4 separate regions of the Mus musculus genome follow, and regions 1, 2 and 3 are each reported to be linked to region 4. The links are microRNA targets in miRTarBase. Many come from high-throughput screens and were not tested one by one. Region 4 holds a microRNA gene; each other region holds the end of a gene's coding sequence.

Region 1 (3,170 bases), not on the chromosome of region 4:
TGTGGGGTCACCTTTGACTCCACTGTTGTGTTCTCTGTACGCAGTGTCTTCATGTGTACGTTGTGTCTGGTGGTTTAATGACGATCAGCTACTCTAGGGATACTTGGGTATCTCTCCTTCAGCCCATGAATGTGAACTCTGTGGATCCCATGCACTCAGTGCTTTGTAAGAGCATGTTGGCTGAAGCTCTGTCCAACCATTCACATATGAGCCTGGGGTAGACGGACATACACGTTTTCATTTTATTTATATAGGTTTTGCTGTTTTGTTACAGAAAATGGAGCTGACCCAACAATTGAAACAGACTCTGGCTATAATTCTATGGACCTAGCTGTAGCTTTGGGCTACAGAGGTGGTGAGTATTTTAGAACTCTCGGGTCATTTTAGGAAAGCATCATATATAGGAATGCCAGTGCTCCAAACCGTCTTCATTGCTTTCATGCATAAAACACTGTAGTATTCTAACTCCAGACATAGGCTTTAATGAAGTGCCAAGTAAACAGACCCCGTAAAGCGAAGGGCGGAGTTCACTTATTGTACTTTTCCATAAACTCAGATAGTTACTGGAAGAAAAGTGGACAGTGTTTGCAAGATTTTCAAAAATGTTTTCATTAAAAAATTATATAACAGCATTGCACTGTGTAATAAAAGCTCAGTTCAGAAAACTCGGAAGCTCGGGCAGCGGCTGAATTAGAAGCAGCCTTAATGTCAAGGGTAGCTGTCGCACATTGTCCTCAGATGGCGACAATCAGTCCTAACAGAAATAGCTTCATTGTACAGAATCCCAGGGCTCGGTTGAGCTGACGCAGTGACTTTTGTGTGCTTGCTCTTGTGTCTCTGTGTGGTGAGCTTACTGACTTACCCTTACTTACTGACGTAGTCCAACAGGCCATCGAGTCCCATCTGCTGAAACTCCTTCAGAACATCAGGGAGTGAGGAGACTCGGGAAACGCCCTCTGCCCTCCCTCACTCCTTGGTCCTTAATGATAGTTTTGTTTACATGTAAATTTTTATAGTTTTGTTTGGGTATACATTTTTATCTCAGTTGCAATATTTGCTGGGTTTTAGTGAGTTTTAATAAATATTCCTCTGGATAATTCACTTGTTTATAATAAAATTAATCCTGATGGTTTTTTAAATAAATGTGTTTTACTATATATTAAAATTATTAATTAATGTTTTGTGGCATGTAACCTTTTATGGTACAGGTGGTTGTGAGTCTTTGTATCAAGTAGCACAATTTGACACTTTAAGGAAACTCCAACTTGTTTGTCTTTACTCTTGTATTCACTCTTTTGACTTTGCACAGGGCTTACTGTAAGTGTGTGGGAGGGAAATAATGTTCTTGTGGAATTAAAAAGTACAGTGTGATGGTTTACAAAATCATGTCTAAATAAAATACTTTGTCTGTTTGCATTCTAGCTCTGATTATATGCTTGTCACAGATGTCTTCAGGATTTTCAGTTTAAGTTTCTGTTATGCAAATTGATCAACAAAGACGCCCATCTCTAGAAGTACACTTAGAGTGTTTTTCTCTTACAAGTAGGCTTGAGAAGGAAAGTCGTAAAAGAGAAGCGAGCTGCTCTTTAACCCTGCTAGAGGAATGTCATTAACTTGCCTCTTACTAAAATCCAGAAGAGGGAACCATGGACTAGAGAGGAATTGAAGAACTGTGAGGGTTGACTGAGGTAAATTCATCTGAAAAATGGCCGTTATATCAGTGGTAAACCGTATAGCCTCGATCTGGGGAACACGAGAAAAAGAGAAGTAAGGGGAGCAGGAAAGGTGCCCTGGTGCTTGAGCGCGGCTGCTCTTGCAGGAGTGGGGTTGGGGTCCCAGCACCTCCATGGCAGCTCACTGATCTATAACTCCAGTTCTAGAGGACCCAGCAATCTTCTGCATGCGTGTGGTGCCCATACAAACATGCAGACGAATACTCATACACGTAAAATTTTAAAGCGCTATGTTACAGGTAATGCTGCTCTATGCAAGTGGGTTTTGTCTGACAGGACCACACACTGCAGGGTAGGGTGGGCTCTCTACAGTCACTTTGACCAGCAGAGCAGCAATATACTCAAGAGGCAAGAAGGCAATTCAGTTCAGTTCAGCATGACTAAGTAGCCAGTGTTGGTTCAAACTTCGAGAGTCTGACCCCAAGTAGTTTATTTTAGGCATATTTAAGCACAGCACAATTTGTTGAAAACTTTCTTGGTGATAATTCAATCCACATGCAAAATAAAGCTTAAGCCATGACTTCAGACTCTTTGTAAAGTATATGTGACATCTTCTATAAAGATGCGTTCTATAGATGGCTACACGCGACACCTTCTGTAGGTTCTATAGATGGACAAGCTCACATACAGGTCTGGAAAAGGAGAAGGATAGTGCAAAATGTCACCAGGTCATTTTATTAACCATGTGTGTGTCTTCCCAGCCTCCTAAGTGGATAGCTGGAGATGTAGCCCTTCCTTTGAGAGAACAATCCTGTGTGTTGACCATTCCAGCTGACCCATAGTGCTTGTCTGTGAGCACAGGTTCTCCGCACTTCCCACAACATAGCATAACCCTTCCACTGATAGAAATCAACATGGTAACCAATGAGAAGTCATTAGATCTGGCACCTTATTACTTGGTAATCAATTGAACTCGGAAAAGCAGCTCCCCTAGACTGAGGGCTGTCAGCCTATTGTATATGCATCAGCATCGAGTCGGAGGCTGCTTAGCACATCCACAGAGCTGCTCATTCAAGTGCAAAGGCCACTCACTGGCCCAGAGATCTCACTGTGTGTGGCTCTGGATGGCCTCTTCCTTTTGAGCACTGAAAGAACATGCCTCCTTTGTTAACATTCTTCATCACGAGTCTGGTTTTGTTCAGTTTGCGTGGGCGAGCTCGTGTTTGAACGTGTGGAGCTCAGAGACACACAGGAATCTCTCCTCCCATAGTATAGGTTCTAGGGATTGAACTCAGTCAGACCCTCAGGCGTGACAATAAATGACCTTACTTGCTGAGCCATCTCACTGACCCTCGGCCTGAATGTCTACATTCATACAGCAATTTAACTAGATGAACGACCCAAACCAGCAGGAATAAGGGTCCCAAATGGCAAGATGTTGTTGAAAGGAGGACCAGGAGGCCTTATACAAACTGATGACTTATGCCAAGCAAATGT
Region 2 (3,184 bases), not on the chromosome of region 4:
TTCTGCTTGCCTGAAAGTTAAAGCTGCTATCTGATGTAAAACGTAGTTTTACAAATTTGCTTTCCATGAATAAAGTTCTTTAGGCACAGAAGCGCCATGAACGCCCACCTGGGATGTTTGTGACCTTAATGTCAGTTTTGGATACTTATCTTCTTTATCTCTAGATTCCGTGGATGGTGCTGTTGGGATCTTAGTTCATATATGGCTTTTTCCAGTTATCATCCTCATCTCTATCTTAAGCCCTCGAAGGTGACCTTATCCTGGCAGAGGCTATAAATGATTCACCAGGCACTGGCATGAAGAAAGAGTCTTTGTAAATGGACACTGAAAAAACAAACTACCAAAGATTCCTCCACTGACTACTGACTCAAAAATTAAATAATAAAAACAACATTTTTTTAAGCACTGGGGATTAAAAAAAAAGACATCATGGAAATATAACTTATTCCAAACTACATATAGAAGATATTCTTGGCCTGGGTACAAAAGAGCCCTTCAGGTGCTTTTGTGGCTAAAATGATTACAGCTTCATCTGGTTGAACTCTGGAAAAAGAAAATAAAAGAAAAAGAAAGAATGAGAGAAAAAGAAGAAGAAAAAGAGCTATAGAAATCCTCGTCAAAGCACAAAGTCATGGCTGGTTTTGTTTCAAATGAATAGTTTGCTTGTTACCATGGAAACCTAATGGCCTGCCAACAAAAACCTCACTGTAAACAGGGTACGTGGAGAGCTGGCATTTATTTTCCTTTCAAGAAGGTTTTATGTAGAGAATTAAATAAATGTAGGCCCTTTTACCTTTGGCTGTTACCCTTCCTTGAAAATACTCCAAACTCGGAATTATTTAAAGGTTTCATATCCCTCCCCGCCTTATCCCACCCCACTTTTACTGTTGTTTGGGTTTTGTTCTTGTTGTTCTTGTTGTTCTTGTTGTTGTTACTGTTTGTTGTAGTTCTTTTCTTTTTCCTTTTTTCTTTCTTTTTTCTCCCTCACATGGCTAAGCTAGATAACTGTATGATGTCTCTTTTTGCATGCACTACTATCCAGGATGGTAAACCTGGGCTTACATATTACACAGGCTTATCGGAGTTTGCTTGCGGCCACTTGACACCCAAACTACGTCATCTGTTCCTATGAAGAAACCAAACCACCATCTTTTATAAATTGCCATGGAAACCAAGTGCCTTCAATGAAACAAGCCTGAATAATTTTCAACTCAGAAGCTTGCACTGCTAACAATGGTTTGTGTAAAACTATTTTGTAAACAGACGACACAGCCTAAATGTGCAAATTACAGGCAAGACACCCTAGCCGCTTCTGAAGAAGAAAGGACCCACGCTGCTGCGTAAACCCATGCAGATTATGTGTTTCACCTCCTAGACAGCCATGGCCTTTTGGCTTAATGTCCATAGAAAGTAACTTCCATTGAGACCAGACATGGGAGCAACACTTTTTTCTTCCAGGTTATTAAATGGGTCAACCAGAGCAAAAGGTTGTTGAGATAATACTTAGCGCAGAAGGTGGTAAAACACAGAAGTGATTTTTTTTTACTCTAACCTCCATTTCAAATGAGATTGGCTTTGCCTTTAGAGGGAACGAGGAAATGTTTGAGATTGCCGTGCATACAAACTCTGCCGCGGAACTGGGCCTGAAAACAATCTGGCTTTATTCTAAACACTGAGGGTAATATGCCTCTGCCCTTTAGTCAGACTCTGTGCAAATTGTGAAATATTATTTTATTATTTTAACAAGATTAAAAAAAACACTTTTACAAAAAAACAAAAACCTGTAAAAATGATTTTGAGCTACCTGAGGACAAACCATAACTTTAACCAGCCAGTTTTCCAATGCATTGTAAATTTCACTTAAACCTGTTGGTTATGACAATTTGAAGATCTTTTTCCTTAAATTATCTCAGCTTTTAACTTCATTTAAAAAGACTTTTGTCTAAAGAAGAATATTATTATTATCTGTTCTTTCAACACCCCAGGATTTAAAAAAAAATTACTGATTATGCAAGTAATTGGGATCTAAGTATTAAATTGCAGCATTTGCAAATATTAATATAAAAAGCACAACAAAAATGTAGTGGAAATGACAAAGCTTGATTTTTTTAAAAACAACTGTAGAAATGTTTGTGCAAATTCAATAATTCAACTTAAAATATAATTTTACAGCTCTGTTCAATAAAGCCTCTTTCCGGGTGAGGAGCGATAAGCGGTATGTGTGTTTGTTGGGCAATATTTACTTATCATTACAATGAGATTAGTTATGCAATTTATTGGTTATATTATCTTGGGATAAATCATCAGTGCTTCATACACACTTGATGTCTGCAGGAACAAATTTTAAAGAACATACAACACATTCTCTTTTATTTGTTAAACACATAAGTAAAAAAATGTTGTACTCTGTAGGTAAAATGCAAACCGACATGCAAGTTAAAATTTATTGTTAAATTTCATAGTCGGGTCAAAAGGGGACATATCAGAATACCAACATAGTGATAGAATCAATATGACCCAAGTCCCTTAACTCACACAAAGGAAGTAAATGATTATCGTCATTTATTTGAATTAATTAGTCATATTGAAATTAAAAATTTTTTTCAAAGTCATCCATCTATTCTATCAAACCAAAGATTTGCAGCAGGTGATAACTGGGCACTTAGCATGGGAAAGATCTGCATTCACCTGCATTTCCAGCATACAGCCACCCACCCCAGTTCTGTGCTCCCCAAGATGAGTAAAACACACGTTTATTTTATTAGGTCTTTTTTCATTCTCTCTGCCAGGACACTGATATGTGTCTCCTGTTTAAAGAGAGCCTCTATTTGTCATCTTCTTTCAATTGCCTTTAAGCTGATTTGCGTGAGGCTTTTGTAAATGAACTTAAAATGGAAAAACCCCTTAAATGTTGAATTTTGGAAGGTACACATGTCATGTCAAGAAAACTCACAGGGTTTTTTTTCCTTCTCAGTTTTTCCAAGCAAAGAAGCTGTTGTGAGTGAAAGTTTCAATTGTATCATTAAGCATTTATCAAACGTTAAAGTAGTTCCTAAATTTCCACATAGTAAGAGAACACACTCCAGAAGTTAAAGAGAACTGGCTGGTACTCCAAAATTAATTTTTATTAAACATCTAAGAAGTTGCAGATGGTTGTGAAGAACAAGGGGCAATCAGAGGGGAA
Region 3 (3,184 bases), not on the chromosome of region 4:
TTTCACATTTAAAACTAAGCTTTTAACTAAAAATACTAAGTTTCCTTGTGAATTCAATCTTTTTTCTTCTTTAAAGATTGTGGCTATTGTGTGGCTTATACTTTCAAATAAACTTCCACTTACAAAATTATAATTGGGAAAAAAACATTCAATGTCTATGTTTTTTTAGGAAAATTTGAAATTCCCCTTCTGGGTTACTCACTATAAATGGATAATAGTTTGAACTTGGATAAAATTAAAAATCATAATAAATGTAAACCTTAGAGACTTAAAAATATGTTGTTATCATATATTGGTCAAGCTAAAGACATTCTGTTTATTTGAAGATCATTTATTAGTGATGGTAATTTAAGTGGGGCTATCTGAATGCAATGGGACTTTTCTTGTTTTAATGATATATCAATGGGGTTGAATGACTTCTTCTACTCTGTCCTGTGTTATCTAATAGATTTTGGACACTGGGTTAACACACTTATTTTCTCTTTTTTACAGGAATCTTACGTCTGGAAGATGTACCAAGAGAGGTGTTGGGAATTTTTCCCAGCAGGGGACTGTTTCCGGAAACAGTATGAAGACCAGTTAAATTAGCATCATACCTTGATTGTCTCTGAAAACCAAAAGCAATCTCTCTCTCAATCTCTCTCTCTCTCTATCTCAGTCTCTCCTCTCTCTCTCTCTCTCTCTCTCTCTCTCTCTCTCTCTCTCTCTCTCTCTCCCCCTCCCTCCCTCCCTCCCTCCCTCTCCCCCCCCACCTTGGAAACACCTACTCATATTTTCCACTAACCAGCATCTTGTGCTGATGCACGGATGCTCAGTCTCAGAGGACCTGACTGTTCTCCCCCCACCTCATGTATCTTCATTGAGAAACAAAGACCGAAGAACAATCCAAATAAGCATTCAGACTAACCAGGAACTCTGGAAAGGAATTCATCATGGATACTCTACCATAACACCCATGGACAGCTTCCCCTGAAGGGTCATGGAGTCTCCACAAGCTGCCAGACCTGTGCAGCCAAGCACGGCAGTCACACTCACCCAGGCTCTTTATTTTGCCATCCCAGAAGGAAGTGTCTGAGGGTCATAGAGCACTGTAGCACTTAACAGGTTGCCATGCAAAGGGAAATAGTGCCTTACTATAAGTGGGTTGAGCTATGCAGAAGATAATGTGCATGACAAACACCTTTATTTTCTTTACATCAACCTTGTTTTCTTAGATAAAATGGTTTTGTGATTTTGGTTTCTTTCTTTTTTCTCCCCTTTTATTCTTTTCTTTGGTGGAGGAGGGTAAGAAAAGCTATCTGCGCTATTTTCAAAAGAAGGGTGGTGTGTCTCAGGACAGAAGGAGGCTCTTGTCATCCAGCTACGTCACATTTACCCTCCCCACTTTGGTAAAGACTCTGATGCTACATGGCAACTTATGAAATCTTTGTATGAAAAAAGAGACTGCAAAAATACAACTTTCAAAAGAAATAATTCATTGCATGTTTATTATGCAAGTTTAAATGAACAAAGAAAGCCCTCAGAAACAAGTTGATCCACATGGGAGAACTTTCGTGATAATTACATCCGTAGTAACAAAGCTGTGGGCTTCCTCATATTTCTGGAGTCAGTGTCATCCACCGACAGTTGGAACCATCGCCAATGTGACAGTAGTCTTGGGTTTTCCTCTTTCTTTTGGCCACCTGTGATCAGTCATTGGTTAAGGACGCCTTGACAGGCCATCTTTTGATATCCAAGCTGAAGCAATATCCATTCAGAGATTTCATTGGTTGCATCATAAGACATGGGTGACCATGTACATCGATTCATTTTATGTTTTTCTTTTTTCTTTTCTTTTTATCATTTTGAGTCCTTTTAAATGTAATTCTAATCTTTACAATTAAAAAAAGACAGGTTCAGAATGGAAGCGAGGTCATTCTGCGAACATTGGAGATCTTTTATTACAAGTCTGCTTGTTAATTTTAGAATTGTAAAACGGCTCTAATTAAACTATTTAACTAACTTCCTTGTTCTTCTCCTATGTCTTCCTATTTCACATATACCAGGAAATTATAGAATCCCATGCTTTTAATTCAGTTTAATTGTGTATAGGACAAACCCAGACACTTCACAGTCAGACAAACATAGCAGTATTTGTAACAGGAGAGCTGGGTTCACCAGGCACCTTGACCCTTTTCTATCTTATGGGGTAATTCAATGACAACTAACTCTCTTCCCACTTTTAAAATTTTCATACAACTTTCACTTTAAAGAACTCTTCCTTGCTCAGGCAAGTGAACTTTTCCATAATAATTACAACCCACTTAATATCTTAATAGGAAAGAGAAGTAGACCATAAATAAGTAGTTCATAAAACACAGAGATGATGCTAGATCATCAGGGCTATCAGTTATCATCTGTTCAATTATGTCTTATCACATCACCAGAGCTCCAGAACCTGGCTTTTGTGTTTCTCTTTTGGAGTCACTTTTATTTGAGGGAAGAGATAAATCTTGGCACACTGTAGATATTGCTACCAAGCCTTCTCAGAAATGGGACCTTATGTCATAAAGAGTCTGAGCCAGTAGATCTGGTCAGCTCTCTAACACATCAAAGAACATGAATCCCTGTACCATTCTTATTTGAGACAAATTTGGAAGTTAGATTCAGATCTTCTATTTATAATGCCCACATTGTGGTAGACACAAAACAATAGTAAAGGTAAGAAAAAAAGGAAATAAAGTCATAGATTTGTCAAGATCTGTGCACTTTACTGACTGACAGCTCCTCAGAGGTGATAGAAATATCAGGAAAAGAGACATTGGAATTGGTGAAATGAGGGTTCTGTTAGCCAATGGGTGTTGCAAACACATCAGTGTTGGAAGAAAAGTAAAAACACAGGTGGGCTATTTGTGCAAGTCATACCTGTCCAATCACTATTGACCAACACAGCAGGACATCACTGGGAGACCATCCAACAGAAGATGGTAAAATCACTATAGGGGTGCAATGCCTGTAATTTCAACACCATGGTGGAAGCCCAGGGCTGGCCTTACGCTACACAAGTGAGTTCAAGGTCAGCCTGTGATGGGGGAGACTGTCTAAAAGAGACAAAAGGAATTCAACCTTATCAGCATTATTTATTTGCCTAGGAAATATTCAGGGAATCTCAAACACAGTGTGACTCTACCTCTCTGATTCTCTA
Region 4 (3,184 bases):
GGGCAATTGAGTTTTATTTCATAGGAGCTATCAGTACATATGATTATAGAGTTCAAGATTATAAAGATTGTGAGGTCATAAAATATCTGGGGTAGATTTTGTTGATTTTTCACTTTCTTCTGACAGATGTGACTAGTTTGTTCTTCTGTAGCAGGCTCTAAACCTGAGTAAGACTTCCAATTGTTCCTTTACCTTGGCAGCTTGCATTGAAACTTCTGATATCATGAAAGCCAGTCCTCAGAGAAAAAGTCTAGGCCAATATCATCTTTATTCTTCCAAATCCTGTTTCTGAAATGTGAGGTGCCTTCTAGAATAGGGTTTTACTTTGAACTTTGGGAGGAAACCAGTTGTCTATTGGTTTGTTGGTCTCTTGGATCTGACCTGTTAATAAAGTCAAGCTAAGAAAAACTAAATTGGCACAAGGACAATTAAACAAGGCAAAAGACATGACCATGGTTATAATTCCAGAAAGGAAAACATGATCAAGCTTTTGTTCTTGGTATTGACAAGCATTCATCTGAAGATTGTACAGGTAAAAAAACCTGCTTTCAGAAAGATGAATGGTGTAGGGATATGAGTTTATTATTCTCTAGAACTTACAATTAAATCAAATCAAGGTATAAATATCTTGTTTTACAAATAATGATGGGATATCTGAAGGCAACGATTTTAATAATGAAGTTTCTGCAATTTAACATGAAGTTTCACATCAATGGCATTCCATCTATGTTGGATTCCTTCATGAGAAATAGATGTAAGTACTTCTTCTCTAGATGAAAAAAATGCTCACCATATTCCTCATGAACTTATTGTAGCATCTTGAAGGTAAAAATATAATTCTTGGATTTATATTTAACTGGGCAGTTGGATTATATTTAGTGTTTTCTCAGTTTAGCTCATCTTGCCTCAGCGACTATATGAAATTCAGTCGTGAAGATACTTGATGAATGATTCTTCAATGAGTTCATGTTTCCTCTGGGAACAGCCTATGATCTCAGGAACAAGAATCTGCACCTAGACGCCAGTTGCTAGGCATAAAGTTTCATGTGGCCTATTACTTCAAGAGACAAGAATGGTAGAATATGCCAGTGGTACAGTGTAAGCTACCTGGCATTTAGTTTCTCATGCCTCTAACCTCAGTATGGTTCTAACGAGTAAAAAACACCAAATGTCTGTCTTCATGTGATCCCTGAAACCCGAGGCAGGGATTACCTTCATGCACACGTACATAATTTAGACCATACTTACCACTTGGGAATGGGCACCTAACTGATCAGGGGACTTATCCTTAAAAAAATACTAGCTCTCCCTTAGCAGCCTGAACTAGATATGGGAATTATGGACCCTTCCTCAATCAGTCTTTTGCAAATCTTGTACGAGCAACCATTAACTGTTGAAAGTGTGTTGGTGAAACAGCCTTATCATGTACAAAAGACAGTAGTTTACACTTTGACAAGTTGTGATTCTTTATAAAATAGCCTTTTGTCTTATTTAAAAAACAAAAACAAAAAACTTTTGCTGGGCAGTGCATGCCTTTAATCCCAGCATTTGGGGGCTGGTTGGGGGGTGGGCAGAGGCAGGCATATTTCTGAGTTTGAGGCTAGCCTGGCCTACAGAGTGAGTTCCAGTATAGCCCATGCTACACAGAGAAACCCTATCGAGAGAGACAGAGACAAAGAGAAAACAACTTTTCATCAGAACTGTGAGTTGCACTAATCAGTGAGTATAAGCTAAGCACATATAATGTAAAAAACCAAAATGAAATCAATCTCATCTCTCTGGTTTTGACAAAAATTCAGTGGAACAAGTGTTAAAGGAAATGCTTAGAGGAAAAAATATGGAGTGGTTGAATCTTAGGGTCTTCGGAATATCTTTGTAACTTACAGGTATTGTAATACATTGTGCTTGTAAGATTTTAAGTGACTATAACAAATACCTATCTCCTTCAAGTCAAGAAGACTATATTCCTCACTTGATCTGTCTTTGGGATAGTGATGATTTCATTTCTGTAGGTAATGTTGAAATCGTTTTTTCCATATGTAAACCTTTTGTATCTAATGACCTAGGTAGTCTTTGTGTTTTCAGTTATTCATATCATGAGAATATAAAGTATAAACTATATTATATCAATGTAATGTAATAAAAAGTCATGTGAATGGTTTATAAATCACTTGCTTCAGAAAGCTAAATGGAGGTAAAGAAGATTATAATTGCTCTTATCTTAATTGTGAAGAAAGAAATTTATTATATATGTATACTTGATAGTCCAAAAAATTGTAATATCTTTTAATTCTTTCAGACTTAATTTCCTCACTCAATATTCTGTGTGCAATGCATTACTGAGAATGGGTAGCAGTCACTTTGTACTATGAGTAACTGCAACATCTCTCAGTATTGTAAGGTTCAACAAATACAAGGGTGGTAGCCACATGGACATAGTCTTCACACAGTGGATGAGTTTCTTGATTTCAAGATACATTGCAGTCACTTTAAAACAGACATCCCCATGATAGATTTGTTGTTGCTTTCATAATTTTAATTCTAGTGTTATATGAATATGAAACATCTTAAGATATATTAATATGGAAAATAATAACATAATAATGAGTTTGAAGTCTTGGAAGTAGGGAATGCTATGAGAAGAATGTGTAGTGAAGAACAGTAATTAGTTACTCTCTGAGTCTCAGGAAATAAGATTAGAATGTGTTTTTAATTTAATTTATGTTATAGTGATAAAGTATCCTGACAAAAAAGAAATTTAGCAGGGAAAGGATTTATCTCAGCTCATGATTCTAGGTTCTAGTTAACCTTTCTGGAGAATTCAAGGCAAGAACTCAAGGACTTTGTCATATCACATCCACAGTCAAGAACAAAGAATAAATACATCCTTGCTTGCTTAATAGTCAGATAGTTTCTATCCCTTTTTGAAAAATTCCTTTATTTACTTTTATTTTATGAATATTTATGTTCCTGCATATATTTATATGTATCACGGGCATGATGGTGGCTTCAGAAGCTAGAAGAAATGTTGAATCTCTTAAATCTTAAGTTGTAGGCAGTAGCAAACTACCTAGTATAGATGCTAGGTACCAAAACTGTGTCTAATACATGAACAGGAAGTTTTCTAACTTTCTCTCCTATCTAACCTATCTCTTTCCAGCCCTAATCCAGAGCTGAGCCTACG

What was found. The annotated mature microRNA mmu-miR-883b-5p reads UACUGAGAAUGGGUAGCAGUCA and lies in region 4 at 2,338-2,359, shown strand. An mRNA with a match to its seed (bases 2 to 7 or 8) in the 3' UTR can be bound and repressed. Matches are read on the target gene's strand: a 7mer-m8 pairs with bases 2 to 8, a 7mer-A1 pairs with bases 2 to 7 and ends in A, and an 8mer does both.
Region 1: the mRNA of Ankra2 is a reported target of mmu-miR-883b-5p. Seed matches in the 3' UTR shown: 7mer-m8 at 1,040-1,046.
Region 2: the mRNA of Mdga2 is a reported target of mmu-miR-883b-5p. Seed matches in the 3' UTR shown: 7mer-m8 at 2,969-2,975.
Region 3: the mRNA of Ryr2 is a reported target of mmu-miR-883b-5p. Seed matches in the 3' UTR shown: 7mer-m8 at 653-659.

Annotation. Positions count from the first base shown.
Region 1 is chr13:98,272,498-98,275,667 of GRCm38, forward strand. Ankra2 (ankyrin repeat, family A (RFXANK-like), 2) reads left to right here. Exons shown (of 8, transcript NM_001271388.1): 8 at 275-1,421. The coding sequence ends at 387. Among named protein-coding and RNA genes, the nearest start is that of Gm21976, 5.7 kb to the right of the region's middle.
Region 2 is chr12:66,468,584-66,471,767 of GRCm38, reverse strand. It overlaps Mdga2 (MAM domain containing glycosylphosphatidylinositol anchor 2), which reads left to right. Exons shown (of 17, transcript NM_001193266.1): 17 at 165-3,184. The coding sequence ends at 253. Among named protein-coding and RNA genes, the nearest start is that of Rpl10l, 190 kb to the right of the region's middle.
Region 3 is chr13:11,551,920-11,555,103 of GRCm38, reverse strand. It overlaps Ryr2 (ryanodine receptor 2, cardiac), which reads left to right. Exons shown (of 105, transcript NM_023868.2): 105 at 493-2,001. The coding sequence ends at 588. Among named protein-coding and RNA genes, the nearest start is that of Ryr2, 550 kb to the left of the region's middle.
Region 4 is chrX:66,789,111-66,792,294 of GRCm38, reverse strand. Mir883b (microRNA 883b) reads left to right here and starts at 2,328; the gene lies at 2,328-2,405.